Linked DNA regions of Macaca fascicularis. Each later gene encodes a partner of the first gene's protein in a complex. Links are inferred from orthologs where the notes say so. Each region holds a gene or a part of one and is shown on either strand. Other genes may lie near its edges.

The links. The genes of interacting proteins can lie anywhere in the genome.
Region 2: RBM15 (region 1) and METTL14 share a complex: the UniProt entries of both Homo sapiens proteins name them as parts of the WMM complex. The link is inferred for Macaca fascicularis from reciprocal best matches to the Homo sapiens genes RBM15 and METTL14.
Region 3: RBM15 (region 1) and WTAP share a complex: the UniProt entries of both Homo sapiens proteins name them as parts of the WMM complex. The link is inferred for Macaca fascicularis from reciprocal best matches to the Homo sapiens genes RBM15 and WTAP.

Annotation. Positions count from the first base shown.
Region 1 is NC_088375.1:123,968,314-123,975,398, reverse strand, and holds the start of RBM15 (RNA-binding protein 15), read left to right. Parts: upstream 1-2,809; 5' UTR 2,810-3,689; coding exon 3,690-6,552; intron 6,553-7,085. UniProt on the Homo sapiens protein: RNA-binding protein that acts as a key regulator of N6-methyladenosine (m6A) methylation of RNAs, thereby regulating different processes, such as hematopoietic cell homeostasis, alternative splicing of mRNAs and X chromosome inactivation mediated by Xist RNA.
Region 2 is NC_088379.1:123,997,612-124,003,900, reverse strand, and holds part of METTL14 (N(6)-adenosine-methyltransferase non-catalytic subunit METTL14), read right to left. Parts: intron 3,810-6,289; coding exon 3,693-3,809; intron 2,153-3,692; coding exon 1,942-2,152; intron 1-1,941. UniProt on the Homo sapiens protein: The METTL3-METTL14 heterodimer forms a N6-methyltransferase complex that methylates adenosine residues at the N(6) position of some mRNAs and regulates the circadian clock, differentiation of embryonic stem cells and cortical neurogenesis.
Region 3 is NC_088378.1:11,236,450-11,242,738, forward strand, and holds part of WTAP (pre-mRNA-splicing regulator WTAP), read right to left. Parts: intron 5,044-6,289; coding exon 4,865-5,043; intron 4,646-4,864; coding exon of another isoform or gene 4,585-4,645; exon of another isoform or gene 3,818-4,584; intron 1-3,817. UniProt on the Homo sapiens protein: Associated component of the WMM complex, a complex that mediates N6-methyladenosine (m6A) methylation of RNAs, a modification that plays a role in the efficiency of mRNA splicing and RNA processing.

The sequences.
Region 1 (7,085 bases):
GATTGCTTGAGCCCAGGAATTTGAGGTTGCAGTGAGTTATGACTGCACCATTACACTCCAGCCTGGGTGACAGAGCAAGTCCCTGTCTCTAAAACTAAAACTAAAACAAAACAAAACAACAAAAAAGAAAAAAAAGAAAAGAAAAAACTCACTAAGCAGCTTTATGCTTTAAAGCAGGAGTTCCCAGCCCCCAGGCTGTGGACCAGTAATGGTCAGTTGCCTGTTAGGACATGGCTGCACAGCAGGTGAGGGGCAGGGGAGGGAGCATTACTGCCTGAGCTCCACCTCCTGACAGATCAGCAGAGGCACTAGATTCTCAGAGGAGGGCTAACCCTATTGTGAACGGAGTATGTGAGGGATGTCGGTTGTGTGTTCCTTATGAGAATCTAATGCCTGATGATCTGAGGTGGCACAGTTCCATGAAACTGGTCCCTGGTGCCAAAAAGATTGGGGACCACTGCTTTAAAGAACACAAAGGATTTTCAGGTAGTATCTGCTGGGAGCCAGGGAAGGGGGTAATTTTGGGGGCAAGAATACAAAGGAAATGAAAACAAATCATTTAACTACAGCATGGATCCAACTTATGTCATTATTCAGTTGTTGTGGAAACACACACACATGTACACACATACACATCACAGACAATATTTTGGCTGTTACTGTAATAGAATCTAGGCCTTTTCCATCTAAGCATAAAACTTACTAGTCCTCTTGGCTCCAGGCAGATTTTCAGTCCCCCTTGGCAAGCCTTTGTACTATAGCCAGCCGCGGGCAGTAGCTTCCATCAAGCTCTCCGGTATTTGAAGTGGCAAGCCACTAAGCTTGGCATGCCTCTGGTGCATGTTCACACAGACTGGGTGTCTGCTTGTCTCCCTGAATTATTTCTCTCAAATCTTGTGCTCCCTCAACCCCTATCATGAGGTCTGGAAAACTACTGATTTGGTCATTATCTTTTTCTTTGATCAGTGAGTCACCTTAGCAGGTCAATTTAGGTTAAAAAGTCACTCTAGTGCCTGGTTTATTATCTCGATTGGCTGTTATATTGAGTAATTAGATAATGGCTTAACTTCAATTTCCATTTGTGGTCTATTAATATAACCTTGAAACATTTAAACCCAGGTAAAACTTTTTCTTTTATTTCATGCTTTTACAAATAATATGTTCATGTATTTTTTATCCTCCAGCATCCAGATTTTTATCTTTAAATACCATTTCCCACTAAAAGGAACCAGAGCTCTCTGGAGAAATGGCTGACTCCACAACTGGGGCAGGAAATGTATATCAGGTAAGTCTGGAAGAAAACAATGGAGAAAGGAAGAGTGGGAAGAGTGATGCAGATGAAACAAGATTGACATGATTTGATAATTGTTGAAGTAGGGTGTTGGGTACACGTGGGAGTTCTTTATTCTTTTATGTATTTTAAACTTTTTCTATAAAAATAGTTTAAGGAAAGTTAAAAATGATATTTTCTAAACTGAAGGAGTAATAGTGCGCCCTTTGTAGAAACAAAAGATTTCTACAAAGAAAAGTGAAGTCTCCCTCCGACTCCAGATCCTTACACCCCTCCTCAGGGCAATCCTGGGAACAATTTCCCACGTAGTTGTCAAGAAAGTTTCCACGAAAATATTTTTAAATGTACATACTCATAAAATACAAATATTTTTAAAACCACAAATGGTAGCGTATTATACACGTTATTTTATGCCTTCTGAAGTTTTATTTCCTATTTTAATACAATGAATATGTCTACACATTACAATATTGTGGATTTTTATGCTTTACAATTGAGCTTCTTCCTTCAAGTTTCTTTGATTTATTCAAGAGATAAAAGGCCTACAGCTTCATATTCCTCAGGATTATTTACAAAAAGAAGGATGGCTCAGCCAAGGCTAAATTTAGGTTACAGTTCCTAATATTAACAGTTTTCAAGTTTAGGTTTCAGCTTTTGGGACATTATTGTTACCCTGAAAAATGTCATGTTTAAAAACACCTCACACCTCTACTATAGATTGGATCTTGGGAAATAGGGTTGAGGACGGGATCAATATAACCTCCGCCCCGGCGCATACCCGGGAGAGCTGCAGACGGTCTAAAGGATGTGGTGACCTCAGCGCTGCGTCCCTGCAGCAACCGGCGAGTGCTGAGGCACAGGCCATATCCCCCTAAGCTCGGCATCGCCTGCACCTCTCACAGGTGCTCTGTCCGCCACAGTAACGCTCTATGGAAATTAAAGTTGTAAGGCGAACGACAGAAGGAGCCAAACGAGGTGGATCCGGAGCCGCCACAAGGTGCCTGTGCTGCTGGCTTTTAACACACAAAAAGAGGAGTGCCAAGGAATACAAGAAGCCACAGGGGGAATAAAAAGCGACATATCTGCATGGAGCCTAAATTTCGCTCGATGATTTTCAGGGAAGAAGCATTACATATTAAAAACAAACATTGCTATTTTACGGGAATACCGGATTTAAAAATCCACACAGATTCGCAACATAAAACAGGCAGCCCAAAGACACGTCCGCGGTGTCCTGACAGTTCCGGCTCCGCCCGCGGGCCACGAGGCGGGGATCGACGGTCACTCCCCTCGGTTGCCCAGAGTACTTGGGCGGCAACGGGGAGCGCCGGGGGGAGACAAGCTCCTGGGCTAGGGCTGCGTCTTAGCCACCTTGCTTAGCTCTCGAGGTCCCGCGTGTTACGTGTTAGCACCGCCCCGGGGCGTCAGCGTGACCCGGGGCTGCAGGAACCGTGAACTCCCTGCCCCGCGGGCCCAGGTGACCGCGGGCATCGCTCTCCCGCGCGCGGGGGGCGGGGCTTCCCCCGGCTGTGCACTCAGCTACCACAGCGACATAAGATGGTGTCCGCTAGGCGTCCCAGGACGGCTTCCTAAGGGACTGGAGGGCCCCGACAGCCGGAGAGTCTGCCCCGCCCCTTGGCCGGCACAGGTAGGACGGCGGGGAGCTCAGAAGTTTCGAACTCCAAGGGCCGAAGCACAGCCAAATACCCCACGGAACTTAACAAATGTTTGTGGGGAGAACGCCAAAAACGCGGGGAGGCGGGGCTGGCGCACAGTCACCCTCTCGCGACATCTAAGTGACGTCGCATAGCAAGCACGTGTTCTAGTCTTTCACCTTCAGTCAGCCTCCTCCGTTATATGGGCCTGCCCCTTTAAGCGAGTGATGGACAGTTACTTCAGCCTATCAACTTCCTTGCAGACATCCAATCAGATTTAAACTTCTTTTAGCCGCCGGAGGAGTTGGAAAAAGGGGGTCGAAAGAGGGAGCTCACCGTCTCTCGCGATATCGCTGTGAGCCTGCCTCTCGGAAAAACGCCGAAACTTGGCCCCACCTCCCAAATAGTGGTTTAAAGGACGGGTTTACAAGCCAATGAAAGGGATGAGGAGGCGGGGTTGCTGCTTTCACTGAGCAAGAAGTACCGTTACAGGGCAGACTTTTTGTCCAATCAACACAGCTACACTTTGGGTCACGTGACCGCAGAGTGCGAGGGGCGGAGCTACAGCCTGGCGCGAGGAACCGTTAAGATAGACAACAAATGTAACCAATGAGGTACTCTGACTAGGGGGTTGGGAACCCAATAACAGTGGTTGGGCGGGCGCCTTCCTGGAGCGCGGGGAGATGTAAAGATAGACAAATAATTTTCCCAATGAGACTGTAGAAGAGAGAGCTAATTGGCCAATGAGGACTGCGGGGCGGGACCCTGTGCCGCGGCGGAGTCCAAGATGGCGGCGTGCGGTTCCGCTGTGTGAAACGAGCGCGGGGCGGCGGGTTGATCAGCTCCGCGGAGACGACCTCCGAGGACCCGCAACAATGAAGGGAAAAGAGCGCTCGCCAGTCAAGGCCAAACGCTCCCGTGGTGGTGAGGACTCGACTTCCCGCGGAGAGCGGAGCAAGAAGTTAGGGGGCTCTGGTGGCAGCAATGGGAGCAGCAGCGGAAAGACCGATAGCGGCGGCGGGTCGCGGCGGAGTCTCCACCTGGACAAGTCCAGCAGTCGAGGTGGCAGCCGCGAGTATGACACCGGTGGGGGCAGCTCCAGTAGCCGCTTGCATAGTTATAGCTCCCCGAGCACCAAAAATTCTTCGGGCGGGGGCGAGTCGCGCAGCAGCTCCCGGGGTGGAGGCGGGGAGTCACGTTCCTCTGGGGCCGCCTCCTCAGCTCCCGGCGGCGGGGACGGCGCGGAATACAAGACTCTGAAGATAAGCGAGTTGGGGTCCCAGCTTAGTGACGAAGCGGTGGAGGACGGCCTGTTTCATGAGTTCAAACGTTTCGGTGATGTAAGTGTCAAAATCAGTCATCTGTCGGGTTCTGGCAGCGGGGATGAGCGGGTAGCCTTTGTGAACTTCCGGCGGCCAGAGGACGCGCGGGCGGCCAAGCATGCCAGAGGCCGCCTGGTGCTCTATGACCGGCCTCTGAAGATAGAAGCTGTGTATGTGAGCCGGCGCCGCAGCCGCTCCCCTTTAGACAAAGATACTTATCCTCCTTCAGCCAGCGTGGTCGGGGCCTCTGTAGGTGGTCACCGGCACCCCCCTGGAGGTGGTGGAGGCCAGAGATCACTTTCCCCTGGTGGCGCTGCTTTAGGATACAGAGACTACCGGCTGCAGCAGTTGGCTCTTGGCCGCCTGCCCCCTCCACCTCCGCCACCATTGCCTCGAGAGCTGGAGAGAGAAAGAGACTACCCGTTCTATGAGAGAGTGCGCCCTGCATACAGTCTTGAGCCAAGGGTGGGAGCTGGAGCAGGTGCTGCTCCTTTCAGAGAAGTGGATGAGATTTCACCCGAGGATGATCAGCGAGCTAACCGGACGCTTTTCTTGGGCAACCTAGACATCACTGTAACGGAGAATGATCTAAGAAGGGCGTTTGATCGCTTTGGAGTCATCACAGAAGTAGATATCAAGAGGCCTTCTCGCGGCCAGACTAGTACTTACGGCTTTCTCAAATTTGAGAACTTAGATATGTCCCACCGGGCCAAATTAGCAATGTCCGGCAAAATTATAATTCGGAATCCTATCAAAATTGGTTATGGTAAAGCTACACCCACCACCCGCCTCTGGGTGGGAGGCCTGGGACCTTGGGTTCCTCTTGCTGCCCTGGCACGAGAATTTGATCGATTTGGCACCATACGCACCATAGACTACCGAAAAGGTGATAGTTGGGCATATATCCAGTATGAAAGCCTGGATGCAGCGCATGCTGCCTGGACCCATATGCGGGGCTTCCCACTTGGTGGCCCAGATCGACGCCTTAGAGTAGACTTTGCCGACACCGAACATCGTTACCAGCAGCAGTATCTGCAGCCTCTGCCCTTGACTCATTATGAGCTGGTGACAGATGCTTTTGGACATCGGGCACCTGACCCTTTGAGGGGTGCTCGGGATAGGACACCACCCTTACTATACAGAGATCGTGATAGGGACCTTTATCCTGACTCTGATTGGGTGCCACCCCCACCCCCAGTCCGAGAACGCAGCACTCGGACTGCAGCTACTTCTGTGCCTGCTTACGAGCCACTGGATAGCCTTGATCGCAGGCGGGATGGTTGGTCCTTGGACCGGGACAGAGGTGATCGAGATCTGCCCAGCAGCAGAGACCAGCCTAGGAAGCGAAGGCTGCCTGAGGAGAGTGGAGGACGTCATCTGGATAGGTCTCCTGAGAGTGACCGCCCACGAAAACGTCACTGCGCTCCTTCTCCTGACCGCAGTCCAGAATTGAGCAGTAGCCGGGATCGTTACAACAGCGACAATGATCGATCTTCCCGTCTTCTCTTGGAAAGGCCCTCTCCAATCAGAGACAGACGAGGTAGTTTGGAGAAGAGCCAGGGTGACAAGCGAGACCGTAAAAACTCTGCATCAGCTGAACGAGATAGGAAGCACCGGACAACTGCTCCCACTGAGGGAAAAAGCCCTCTGAAAAAAGAAGACCGCTCTGATGGGAGTGCACCTAGCACCAGCACTGCTTCCTGCAAGCTGAAGTCCCCGTCCCAGAAACAGGATGGGGGGACAGCCCCTGCGGCAGCAGCCTCTCCCAAACTCTGTTTGGCCTGGCAGGGCATGCTTCTACTGAAGAACAGCAACTTTCCTTCCAACATGCATCTGTTGCAGGGTGACCTCCAAGTGGCTAGTAGTCTTCTTGTGGAGGGTTCAACTGGAGGCAAAGTGGCCCAGCTCAAGATCACTCAGCGTCTCCGTTTGGACCAGCCCAAGTTGGATGAAGTAACTCGACGCATCAAAGTAGCAGGGCCCAATGGTTATGCCATTCTTCTGGCTGTGCCTGGAAGTTCTGACAGCCGGTCCTCCTCTTCCTCAGCTGCATCAGACACTGCCACTTCTACTCAGAGGCCACTTAGGAACCTTGTGTCCTATTTAAAGCAAAAGCAGGCAGCCGGGGTGATCAGCCTCCCTGTGGGGGGCAACAAAGACAAGGAAAACACCGGGGTCCTTCATGCCTTCCCACCTTGTGAGTTCTCCCAGCAGTTCCTGGATTCCCCTGCCAAGGCACTGGCCAAATCTGAAGAAGATTACCTGGTCATGATCATTGTCCGTGGTGCGTCCTAAAGTCCATGTGTAACTTGTATTTACTACTTTGACATGGTTCCTGTTTTGTGATGTGTAATGGGATACAGCATCAGATGCAATTTTCTTTTTAGTTGTTAGTTGTAGCATTTTCTTTTTTATATTTTTATAAACGTCTTTAAAATAGAAATCAGGACAGTTTAGCTATTTTTTTGTTTGTTTAGCTATTATTTTAAGTGAAAGGGATGCCCTAAAGGTAGCAGGCAGACAGATTTGCTTTAATTAGGAGTTCCCACCCTTACGAGTAATTTTTTTCCTCTATTCAGTTTTTTTTTTTTTTTTAATCTTGAGCCTAAAAAATCCTCTGAGTTACAAAACCAAAACTTTGAAAAGTCAGAATTTGGAGAAAGGAGTCCACTGACCATACAAAGAGAGTAATAGCCACCTAAAAAATGACTTGATTGGTGTGTAGGTAGATAATTCTTTTACCAGAAATGTGTGTGACTGAAATTTGATCAGGGATCTCAAAGGTATGCTGGTAAATTGTTTAGCAATGTAATTATT
Region 2 (6,289 bases), on another chromosome or scaffold:
ATGGTAAATGGTATTCCTAAGGTATATGTGAAATATCTTAGGCTATTTCCTTGAGGAAGAAGTGTATTTGAGGAGCAACTTAATAAACTAAGGTCTTTTTTTTCTTTTTTCGAGACAGAGTCTTACTCTGTCACCCTGGAGTACAGTGGCACAATCTCGGCTTACTGCAACCTCTGCCTCCCAGGTTCAAGCGATTCTTCCGCCTCAGCCTCCCAAGTAGTTGGGATTACAGGCACACACCACCACATCCAGCTAATTTTTGTATTTTTAGTAGAGACAGGATTTCACCATGTTGCCCAGGCTGGTCTCAAACTCCTGACCTCAAGTGATCTGCCCACCCCGGCCTCCCAAAGTGCTGGGATTACAGGCGTAAGCCAGAGTGCCTGGCCATAAATTAAGGTCTCTTGAACAGACTCTCAATTGCACATACTATTATTTATATGGCTAACTCCCAAACACCTATACTTCGATCAGTCAGATTGTTCTTCATTATTTTAATGTAGCTAATACTAAATTTTTGCAAGAGTTTCTTTCTTGAAACTCTTGCCTATTCAATTTCTTTTTATACTAGTAGTTTACAAGTACAAAATTAAACCTTACCCCTAACCTGAATATCAATCTAAAAATACTTCAGATAGAAAGACACGAAGTAAATCCAAAGAAAGTAGAAAGAAAATAAAAAAGCAGAAATTAATTAAATAAAAATAAACATGTAACAAGGCAATGAGAAGACAGTCACCGAATAAGAGAAAATATTTGCAAAAACAAATCTGATAAAGTACTATTCTGCAAAATATACAACTAACTCTCAAACGTCAACAATAAGAAAACAAACAGCCAAATAAAAAACGGGCCAAAGACCTTAAAAGACATCTCACCAAATAAGGCATACAGATAGCAAATAAGCATATGAAAAGATGTTCTACATCATACGCCATCAGAAAAATGCAAATTAAAACAACAATGTGATACTACTACACACACACTAAAATTGCCAAAATCCTGAACACTGACAACACCAAATGCTGGTGAGGATGTGGAGCAACAGGAACTCTCACTGCCGGTGGAAATGCAAAAAGGTACAGGCACTTCAGAAGACAGTCGTGGCAGTTACTTACAAAATTAAACACATTCTTACCATGCAATCCAGCATTTGTGCTCCCTGGCATTTACCCAAAGGAGCTGAAAACTTATGACCACACAAAAACCTGTACACAGATTTCCACTGTAGCTTATTCATAACTGCCAAAACTTGGAAGATGTCCTTCAGTAGGTAAATGGATACATAAACTGTGGTACATCCAATGGAATATTATTCAGCACTAAAAAGAAATGACCTATCAAACCATGAAAAGGAATGGAGAAATCTTAAATGCCAATTACCAAATGAAAGAAGCCAATCTAAAAAAGCCACATACTATACAATTCCAACTATATAACATTCTGACAAAGGCAAATTATGGAGACAGTAAAAAGATAAGTGGTTGTCAAGGGTTGTGGGTAGGGATGAATAAGTGGAGCATGGAGGATTTTTAGGGCAGTGAAACTATTGAGTATGATCCTATAATGGTGGATAGATGTCATTATACATTTGTCCAAACTCACAGAATTACTACACCAAGAGTGAATCCAAATGTAAACCGTGGACTTTGAGTGATTATGACGTGTCAATGTAGGTTCATCATTTGTAACAAATGTACCACTCTGGTGGGAGATATTGATAATTGGAAAGGTTATGCATGTGTGGGGCAGAAGGTATGTGGAAAGTCTCTGTGTCTTCCTCTCAATTTTGCTATGGACCTGAAACTGTTCATATTTGAGTACAGCAAGAAAAGGAATCAAATGCATAAGAAGTTTATTTCACACAGCACCGTGTCCTATTTCTTGACATGCATAACCCAAAGAATCATAAAGTTGTTGTTGTTTTAACTGAGGTCCTACCTGGTCGAATTGTACTATCTCTTCCAAATAGATGAAGGCGTCTTCTACCAAGACAAAAATGCTCAATTATATGAAAAATTTCTACAGGTTTTTCTATATTGCCAATTTCAGGTTCTTCTGTGATAATTAAGTCAATGTCAACATTAGCATGAATGAAGTCCCCATCTGTGCTACGCTTCACAGTTCCTTTGATCCCCATGAGGCAGTGTTCCTAAATAACAAGAGCAGACCAATTAATCTCTTTTAATCAACAGTCATTCCAAAACCTTTTACATTGACGTCCTCAATTCTAAAACAATCCTCATTTCTCCAAATCTTTGGGATACAGTTATTTCTCTCTTTTTTGAGACTAGGTCTCACTCTGTCACCCAGGCTGGAGTACAGTGGCACGATCTCAGCTCACTGCAGCCTTGATCTCCTGGGCTCAAGTGATCCCCCTGCCTCAGCCTCCCAAGTAGCTGGGACCACAGGAACACACCACCACACCTGGCTAATTTTTAAATTTTTTGTAAAGACAGGGTCTCGCCATGTTGCTCAGGCTGGTCTCAAATTCCTGGGCTCAGGTGATCTACCTACCTCGGCCTCCCAAAGTGCAGGGATTATAGAAGTGAGCCACCATTTCTGGTGAGATACAGTTCTATGGGCAACAAAACAACAGGAAAACCTGGATCTCTGGATGAGGATAGACTGCCATGTAAATAAGAAAAACTCTTTTCTACACTCTCACTTACAACACTCAGTATTTTCAGAATACTTCATTTCTGATCCCAGATGTGTGGATTTTTCCCATACCAAGCAATTCTTCATTTCTTCATCAACACATTCAATTCAATTCTGACACTATCTACCTAGTTAGTGCAGACCCCACAGGTCAAGGGCTGAGAACCACATGATTGCACCACCTTCAGATACCAATCACAAGTCCAGATTGTCACCTGTGCTTCTGACCAACTGGCTATAAATCAGAGGTTCCCACGACCTCTTCCTCGAGTTAGATCATTTGCTAGAACAGCTCAAGGAATTCAGGAAAGCTCTTTACTTACTATGATCTATTTATTATAAAAGGATACAACTCAAAACAGCCAGATGGAAGAGATATATAATGAAAAGTATGGGGCATGGGGCATGGAGCTGCTGTGCCCTCTCCAAGTGGACCACAGTCCCAGAAACTCCACAGGTTCACCAACCCAGCTCTCCAACCCCTGTCTTGGAATTTTTACGGAGGCTTCATTACCTAGGCATGATTCCAGTCCAAAAAAGACTTAATAAGAAAGACCCTCCCACCAGTGGCTCCCTAAAAAGTAAAGAACAAAACCTGTTAAAACCTGATACTAGCAACTCAGAGTCACAAGAAACAGAAGTTCTCAGGGGTTCTTGTAAAGGAAAAAGAAGGAAAGAAGAGAGAAATATGTCTCTAAGCTGGCCAGCTAGAGTTTTGCGGCTCTCTCTTCTTTCTGAGCCTAGAAAAATTCCACAGGTCAGTGTGATCAAAAGCCTTTATCTAATAGAAATATGGCATTTAGGACATAGAGGAATATATACTCCCCTTTTTAGCATGGTGGGGTTATCTAAGACAATGAATAAAACATTTTAAAACAAATTTGGATGTATTCCTGTAATGCTCAATGCTATCTTCACCAGTCTAAGAAAAGGACCTTTTTACTAAAGTTAATTAAACAGTATATAGTGATTTGGAAAAGCTTGAGAGAAAACCATGAAAATTTAAAAAAACAAATCAGTAAAGGCAATACCTTTGTTCTCTGAAAGACAGCCTTTGGATCTAAAGTCTTAGTCTTCCCAGGATTGTTTTTATTGGTTTTAATCCAACAAATATCTTCACATCTTCTGTAGCCCCATTTTCGTAAACACTAGAAACAAAAGAATTTTAAACAGAAATCCTTAACTTAAAGAAATAAACAATACTTACAATAACCAACTAGCTTTAAAAAAAACTTTCTAGAGGCTTCAGACACTATATTCCAAGGTTTCAAGGTAATTTTTTTTCAGTGTAGAATATAAAAAGAAATGCCAGTCTTTAAATATATAGCCATAATACGGAATACATATATACCTTCTGGATATCAACGTCACATATATAGTTGACTATCAAAACATAGAAAGGATTACATCATCTCCCAATTCTACATTCTAGTGTCATCAATGGACATGGGGTTTTAAATTTTAAGCGCTCAGACCTTCTGTAATCACAAAATAATCCAAAACACAATTTGATTCCCACCACCTCAATATTCTATTCTCTGACAAAGCTGTACACTGTTGAAAATCTTCTAAATGCTAACTTCAAATGAGAGTCTTATAAAACCTTATTTCTATATTTAATACGACTGTAAAAATGTTCAAACTTAAAATTGCTACATGTATCTCTTTGTTGGGTAAAATGGTACTTTCATCTCTACATAACCTAGAAAATAGAGATGTGAACCTTAATGACCTAGAAGCTGTTACACATTAACATAAAACAAATACCAGCTAAATGATTGCTCACAGTGACATCTGAAAGTCTACCATATGCTAGTGCTGCGTAGCTGCTGGGAATAAAAACATGAATAAGACACAGTCCCTATCCCCATCAACTTAAGAATAAAGGAAGGAAAAATAAATAAATAAGTACAGTATTGCTGGTATGATGATCAAGTACATATAAAGATATAGTAGAGGGGGGTTGGGGACTAGGGGAGGGATAGCATTAGGAGAAATACCTAATGTAGATTACAGGTTGATGGGTGCAGCAAACCACCATGGCACGTGTATACCTACGTAACAAACCTGCATGGTCTGCACATGTATCCCAGAACTTAAAGTATAATTAAAAAAAAAACAAAAAACAAAAAACTTTCCAACAAGCTTCCTTTCCACCACAGGAAATCCTGTTGGGAGTTCCCCCTGAACCAAAAAAAAAAAAAAAAAGATATAGTAGAGTATAAAACATACACTTTTCAGGAATGCTTATTGGGTAATGTAAGATAACACCTCAAAATGAAACTTAGAATTTTATTTTATTTTATTAATTTATTTATTTAGAGACGGAGTTTCACGCAGGCGAGAGTTCAGGAGTGTAATCTTCACTCACTGCAACCTCCGCTTCCCAGGTTCAAGTGATTCTCATGCCTCAGCTTCCCAACTGGCTGGGACCACAAGCACGTGCCACCATGCCATGCTAATTTTTGTATTTTTAGTAGAGATGGGGTTTCACCATGTTGGCCAGGCTGGTCTTGAACTCCTGGCCTCAAGTGATCTGCCCGCCTCTGTCTCTCAAAGTGCTGGGATGACAGATATGAGCCACTGCACCCAGCAGAGTTTTATTTTAAAATCTCTGAAATCAAGATCAATATTTGTTCCTGTTACTAAATATTTATTTTGCACCGTGTCATTAACATCACTCTGACCTAAATTCTACATGCCCTAATCCACTAATTTATCAAAAGCTCATGAGTATTTCTCATGCTGAATTATTTTTCTAAATCTTAAATCATTTTTCGCCAAACTCTCACCAGTATGATAAACTGCTGCATAAGCAAATAAGATAAAAACCTCCTGGATGGCTACTCAGGAGGCTGAAGCAGGAGAATCACTTCAATTGGGAGGCAGGGCTTTACAGTGAGCCAAGATAGCACAACTGCATTCCAGCATGGGTGACAAAGCAAGGCTCTGTCTCAAAAGAAAAAAAAAAAGATAAAAATCTCCTAATCATTTTCAATCTAATTTGGGGAATGAGAGATGAGAGGAAAGATCAAAGTCAGATATTAAAGTTAAAGTAAATACCAATATGCCTATAAAAACATATGTTTCACTCTTACTTTTCTATAGCATCTTGAAGAGCCACCACCAAAAAAAAATGGAGATATTCAACTGAAATACAGTTATAGTCTACCTTGGAGTTAATAAATAATAGAAGCAGTGATGTTACCCAACAGCCTTACTATTTATATAAAGCATATAAAGTAATTGTAGAATTTCAGAATTTGGGCACAATCTTATTTCCATATAATCATACTTGTTATCTCATATAATCCTACTTAAATTTTTCAACTGTCAAATGGATACCTCCCCAAATTGGAATGATTAAATGAGATAGTTTGGTGTATAGTAAGTAATATGTCATAAAAATGAAAAGTGTCAACCAATAAAATGTGACGAAACTGAGACCCTCAAGAGTATCTTTTTGCCCAAAGTCTTACTGTTACATAGCAGACGAATTGAGAGCAAAATTAAGACTCCTGATACCTAGTCATAATACTGTTGTTATTCTTGTTTAAAACAGCATATATATTATTTTGTTCCTTTTGGCCAGGGCCAATCAGGCCCAGGAATGGTGGCTCATGCCTGT
Region 3 (6,289 bases), on another chromosome or scaffold:
ACAGCAGCAAAAATAAACCCTAAACAAAAAGTGCCCAAACAGCTACACCTTGTTTCTATTATATCAATAATCAATTCTGAAATCCATCTGTTTTCATCTCAAATTATCATCTGAAATGGAAACAGAGCCAGTTTTAACACACACCTTGGCTATACCAGTATTATTACACTAAGGAATCTAGTGCTGTATCAGAAAAGTTCTTGAAAAGGTACATGCAACATCAATCACAAATGCTTCTCTATGAAAATCAGTACCTACAAATAAAAATGCATGAGAGTATATTTATTCTTGCTAGAAAAAAAATTTAATAAGGATTTTCCTTAACAGGAAGTCCTCCAGCATGGGCAACATAGTAAGACCCCAACTCTACAAAAATTTTTTTTTAAAAATTAGCCAGGCACACATGCTTGTAGTGCCAGCCTCTGGAAAGGCTGAGGTGAGAGGATTGCTTAAGCCCAAGTGGTTGATGCTGTGACCATGCCACTGCATTCCAGCCTGGGAAACAGGGACCCTGTCTCAAAAAAAAGGAGGAAAGAGGGAAGTTTATGGTACATCCATCTTCCATAACTCTCAAGAATATATCTATTATATTAATTGAGGCACATTCAACAATTAAGTTTTTTTTTTTAAGACTTTATTAACAGAAAAGATCATCCTTTTGACACAAAAATAAGACCAGTGGTCACGTACCACAATTCAAACATGCAAATATCTGCCAATCTAGGAGTGTCACACTTTCCACAAATTAGTTCCAAATGCTAGTGGAACCTATGTGCACATACAGAGCAATTGCAAATATGTAAAGAAAAGCTCAAATGTTTCCCAATAAAATTTTACTGCTTTTCTTTAGCCTCAGCAATAAAAGGAGAAATTATTTGCTTGTTCTTGTAATTATTTATGAAGACAAGAAGAAAAAAATGATCACTTTTAAAGGGATCTAATAATTGTGATATTTACCTTTGAGACTTGGATAAAGACAGTGTGACATTCTTGTCCTTGGGGTAAGTTCAGAATGACCTTATTGGTTAAAATGTTTTTTAAATTCTAGTCTTTCCTTCTCCTAGTGAGGCTTTCACTTGCCTGACACACTACTTCAGTATGCCTTAGAACTTTAAAAATGAGAGCATTTTGTAAATAATTGTCAGTCTTTGAAGAAGTGTTGCACGGTTCTTTCACCTACAGCATAATTTTTTTTTTTTGAGATGGGGGTCTCACTGTGTTGCCCAGACTGGAGTGCAGTGGCGTGATCTCAGCTCACTGGAGCCTTGATGTCCCCAGGCTCAGATGATCCTCCCACCTCAGCCTCAAGAGTAGCTGGGACGATAGGTGTGCACCAGCACCCCCAGCTAATTTTTGGAGTTTTAGTAGAGATGGGGTTTCACCATGTTGCCCAGGCTGGTCTCAAACTCCTAAGCTCAAGTGATCTGCCTACCTCAGCCTTCCAAAGTGTTGGGATTACAGGTATGAGCCACCATGCCTGGCCTCATGTTTTCTAACCTAATGTAATTCAAGGAAGTTTGTAATTAAGCTTTCTTCCAGAAAATATGTGAAGAGTTAAACCTGGGTTACTACTGCTCAGAGGAGCCGAAGGGTGAAAGGTCACCAGTGAGCATGTGGTAAAGGCTTTATTCTTTCATAACATTATTAGCTGGTGTTCTTGTTCGTTGCTACTGTAGCTCCAGATTTCCACCATTTCCCATAAGCACTCTCAGGCGTTAGCCTCCACTGAACATCCACTTAGAAATTAAACAGTGGGAAAATGAGAGATATGCAAGATTGTCAAAAGCGATGGAATTCCTGCCTATGCGCTCAAAACTATCTTCTTGCAAAGTATATCTATTTCATTGGTGTTTACAACTAACTTTCTTATTATATGAATTTTAAAGAGTGGAAAAAGACAACTATAAGAGACATTAATTTGTGACCTGACTTAACCCCATATAAAAATGTCACAAATTCTAATGCAAAAAAGGGGTTCGTTTAAAAAGTCATACCTTTTAATAAATAAATGTCTAAGCTAAGGTAATCGTATCACATTTAAAACTAGTGATTACTGAAATAAATTTTAACAAAACCACAGTTTTGAAAAAATAATTTAATTACAAGTAATTGTTTCTGAAATAATTTTTTAAAATTACAAACAAAAAAACCCATTCCTAAAATCAATTAACCCACACACATAATAGAAAGCACGTTGAAAGATATACCTCTAAACACTCTAAAATGTGTGCATTCTCACATGAATGAAATATTTTAACTGAACTGGACAGGTTATTTCTGAGAATCTTTCTTCCTCAAAATTAAAACAAAAAAACAGTAAAGCGAAGACACACGTGCGCACGCACACACCCCAAAGCAAAACCCATTCCACTACTGGAAATATTCCAGACAGGGGATTGCCTGAGCCATTATTTGTTTCAAATTAGTGATGTATTTATAGTACCTGATATACTCTGGCTTACAGCCAATTTTACAGAAAAAAATCAATTTATAAGTGATTTAAATAGATTATGATTCCTTAATATAATGGAAATACACTATGCAACCATTAAAAATGTAGTAGTCTAGATACACTAAAAAATGGAAAAATGCCGAAGAGACCAACTAAAAAAAAAGGTGCAACTCATCTGTGTTTATGGTATGATCACATTTGTTTAAAATAATATACATAAAATGACTGTATATGCATAGAAATTATCTTGATGATACCCAAGAAAAAGTAATAGCAGTTACTGCTCCTGGAGAACAGAATGAGGATATCCAGGTAACATCAGAGAGTGACACTCACTTTTCATCTCCCCCTTTCTCTATAGTATTTCAATTTTATATACAAGCATGTATTATCTTATTATTAAAAGGGAAAATTTTAACAATGACAAGAAAAAAACCCATAGAACTCATGACTGTTATCTAAGTGGCAAAGAAAGATGCCTGCTAAATTTGAGTACATGTTAATAATACATTTTATGAATTACTTTTCTACTAAATTCTACTAAAAAGATACTTAGGCCATTTCTACTGTGAACTTAAAATGGCATAAAATATATACAAAAGCGTTAATGCAATCACATAAGCTAATTTCAAACAGATCCGGTTACTTACCCTCCAACCCTCACAAATAGTGAGAATTTTAGAAGCAGGTTTCTTGCTGAAAAGTCACACAAACCACTTCTTCAACCCACCCTCTGCCCCACAATCAGTTCCCTAAAGCACAAACATATATAAGATACTTACAATTGATTTGAATGATTAAGAGAGAACTTAAGTCACCCTTGTTAAAACTGCACTTAAACGTTGGGACAAGCTGGAACATTTATCTTCCACTCATCTTAGACTCCATTATCACCAAGCGAAAATTTGAATTGGTGACTTATAGAATGATCTGACGGAAAAAATTCACCTCCAGGATTGGATGGAAGCATGAAGAAAATAATGCCTCATTTATCTAAATGATTAAATGAATTTACTAGAAATGATCACTATACCTTTTTTCAATTCACAAAATGTCTTACTTAGGCCAGCCCACAGTTCCAACACAGTATCTTCTGGCAGGCACCCTGTGAAGCTGTCCCGCAATTACTTTCTACTGCAGTACCCTGGGACAAAGTGTCATTAAGGTAACCAGTGTCAAGTCTCCTTGTCTTTTATGTAGGTCTTTTAAAAATGAGGCACAGCGCCTTTTCCTTCACTTTGAAGAGCACAGCAACAGTATTTCCAAAATGAATCTGCTCTCCACAGGCCCCCCCCCAAATTAAAATGTTAGAGTACAACAAAATCATCATAATATTCTTTGAACTTAAAAAAAAAAAACCAACTATTTCAAGGCACATTTAATTTAATATCAAGAGTGCAATACAAAAGGCCCAAATACAATGAAGGAACACATTCCCCCATTAACACCAACGACAATGCTCTTTTAAACATGTGCCTGTTGAATGGAATGGGGATTTCATAAAATTCACTAAAAAAATAATGCAGTGAGTCTCATCACAGCTAATATCCTTATACAATCTAGTTGTGAAATGAATGTTTATAATGCTTCAAACAGTTTCAACCTGAAGTTTGATACCACACCTTCACGTTTGTACAGTCCTCAGTAAGATAATCTACAGTTTTGCAACCATTCAAAGAACAAACCATTGAATAAAACCACATTGATTAAGGCTCAAGCAAGTAATATAGAGCCCCAAACTAAATGGTTAAATATATGCGCTACTTGTACGGACATCTATTATTTGATTCTCTCGTGACTATTAAAAGTTGGTTCTCAGCAAATAAACCCTTTAAAGGCAAAATTCACCTCATTTGAGTTTTGACCCAGAAGTTCAACAACAATCATGAAGTCCACAGTCTTATTGGCAAAACTGATACACAGTGTCTCTAAGTCACTATGCTCAAGGTTAAGAGCGATGCATATTCCATTTTTACATTTTACTGGAATTTTACATGTTCAATTCATGATTTAAAATCTCTAGGTTTTCATTCCTTCAAACTGTCTGAAGACACAGTGTGCCACAGACTTAAGACTTCTGTTTCTCCCTCTATTTTCTTCAAACAGAAACATTTCTCAAGTGTCTACATGTTCTAGAAGGGGAATTTTTCGGAGGTGGCCACTTCTTCGGAATAGTCCGACGCCATCAGGCCTCTGAAGCAAGGGGAAGGGGAAAAGAAAAAAGCTGAAACACAAGGTTCATCTGGTAAGTTTTACATTAACCATTACAAGCTGGACAGTGTAAGAATGTGGCTTTTTTTGGCTCAAAAAGTCTGAGTCTTGGTGTGGAAACGAGTACTTGGCTGTCCCACCACAGCTTTCTCGTAGTGGGACTGTCAGGGAAGTCTTGACTGGGGAGTATGATTTGTTTACCTATCAGGCGTAAACTTCCAGGCACTCAGTTCATTTTGGGCTTGTTCCAGTTTGTCTTTAGTCTGTTCCAGTTCACCTTTCATTTTTAGGAAAAACAAGTTGATCGCTGGGTCTACCATTGTTGATCTCAGTTGGGCAACGCTCGGCTGCTGGACTTGCTTGAGGTACTGGATTTGAGTCTGTGCAAAGCAAAAGAAACAATTACGACCAAATCAAAGGAAACATACATAAGAAGGTGGGGGAAAACTCCCTCCATTCACTTGATTTACCAACTCTTTCATTAAGTCCTCCCCTCTTTCATCCTGAAATTCTCTAGAAAAATCTTAAAACTTTCTCGAAAAAGTACAGATTAAAAACTATTTGATGAATATGCTAATTACCCCAATCTGATCACTACACATTATATGTATTGAAACATCACTAGTAGTCCTTGAATATGTACAAAAATTATTTGTCAATTAAAAAATAACTAAGGTTATTCATTTAGGAATTGAGGCCATTTGATTACGTCTCCAAATCTGGATCTTAAAGGGGCTACATACATTTTACTTTACAATCCAAAATTACCAAAAAAACAAACAAAAATCAACATTATATTTACTAAAAATGCTGACAACCCACTGGAAAAAAGCAAAGTTTAAAATATTAATTACCTAAGAGTTAATGAAGTCTTTTGGTTTGCTTATTTTAATTTTTTGCCTATGGAAATTATTCTATGTAAAGTCCCCTAAAAATACATCAGGTGAAAGATTATAACTTAAAATACACATTTGCATTTCTAAAGGAAAAAATATACAGTACACATAGCTACAAGAGTTGCCGTTACAACTTTATAAAAGCAAAACTATAGGACCTTAAGCCAAAATAAAGTATAATTCATATTTTTTCTCCCTCTGAATAGATTTGAATCATAGAATTGTAAAGCTGGAAAGTAACTAACCTAACCCAAACTGCTTATTTTGAGATTAAATAACCCAACTGTTTAGTTCAGTGCCATAGCTGGGACAAGAACTCTAGTTCTCCAGCCTTCTGATTCCCAGTCTAGAGCTTTTTCCATCACACCGGAACCCTTCTACTTACATATGAAACCTTCAATTTCGACTTCAGTTGTACTATTTACTAGAACACTAAAAATACATTTCTAAAATATGAAATATAGTTATTAGCATTAAATTCATCATTTTCTTCATACTCAAAGTAGATCCGGCCCAAGATCTAACTCCATACTAAGGCTTAAACAGAATTACAGTTGAAATTTTCTAATATAAATTTAGTAAAGGAACAAATATACTAAGTAGTTTGGGAATATATTTGTTCCATTGAGCAAAAATCTACTACAACTGCATAGTCAATGTGAAACCAGCTGCTAAGATAACTTAAGAGAGCAAGAATAAACCATGACTTACAGTGCACTCCACGTACTGA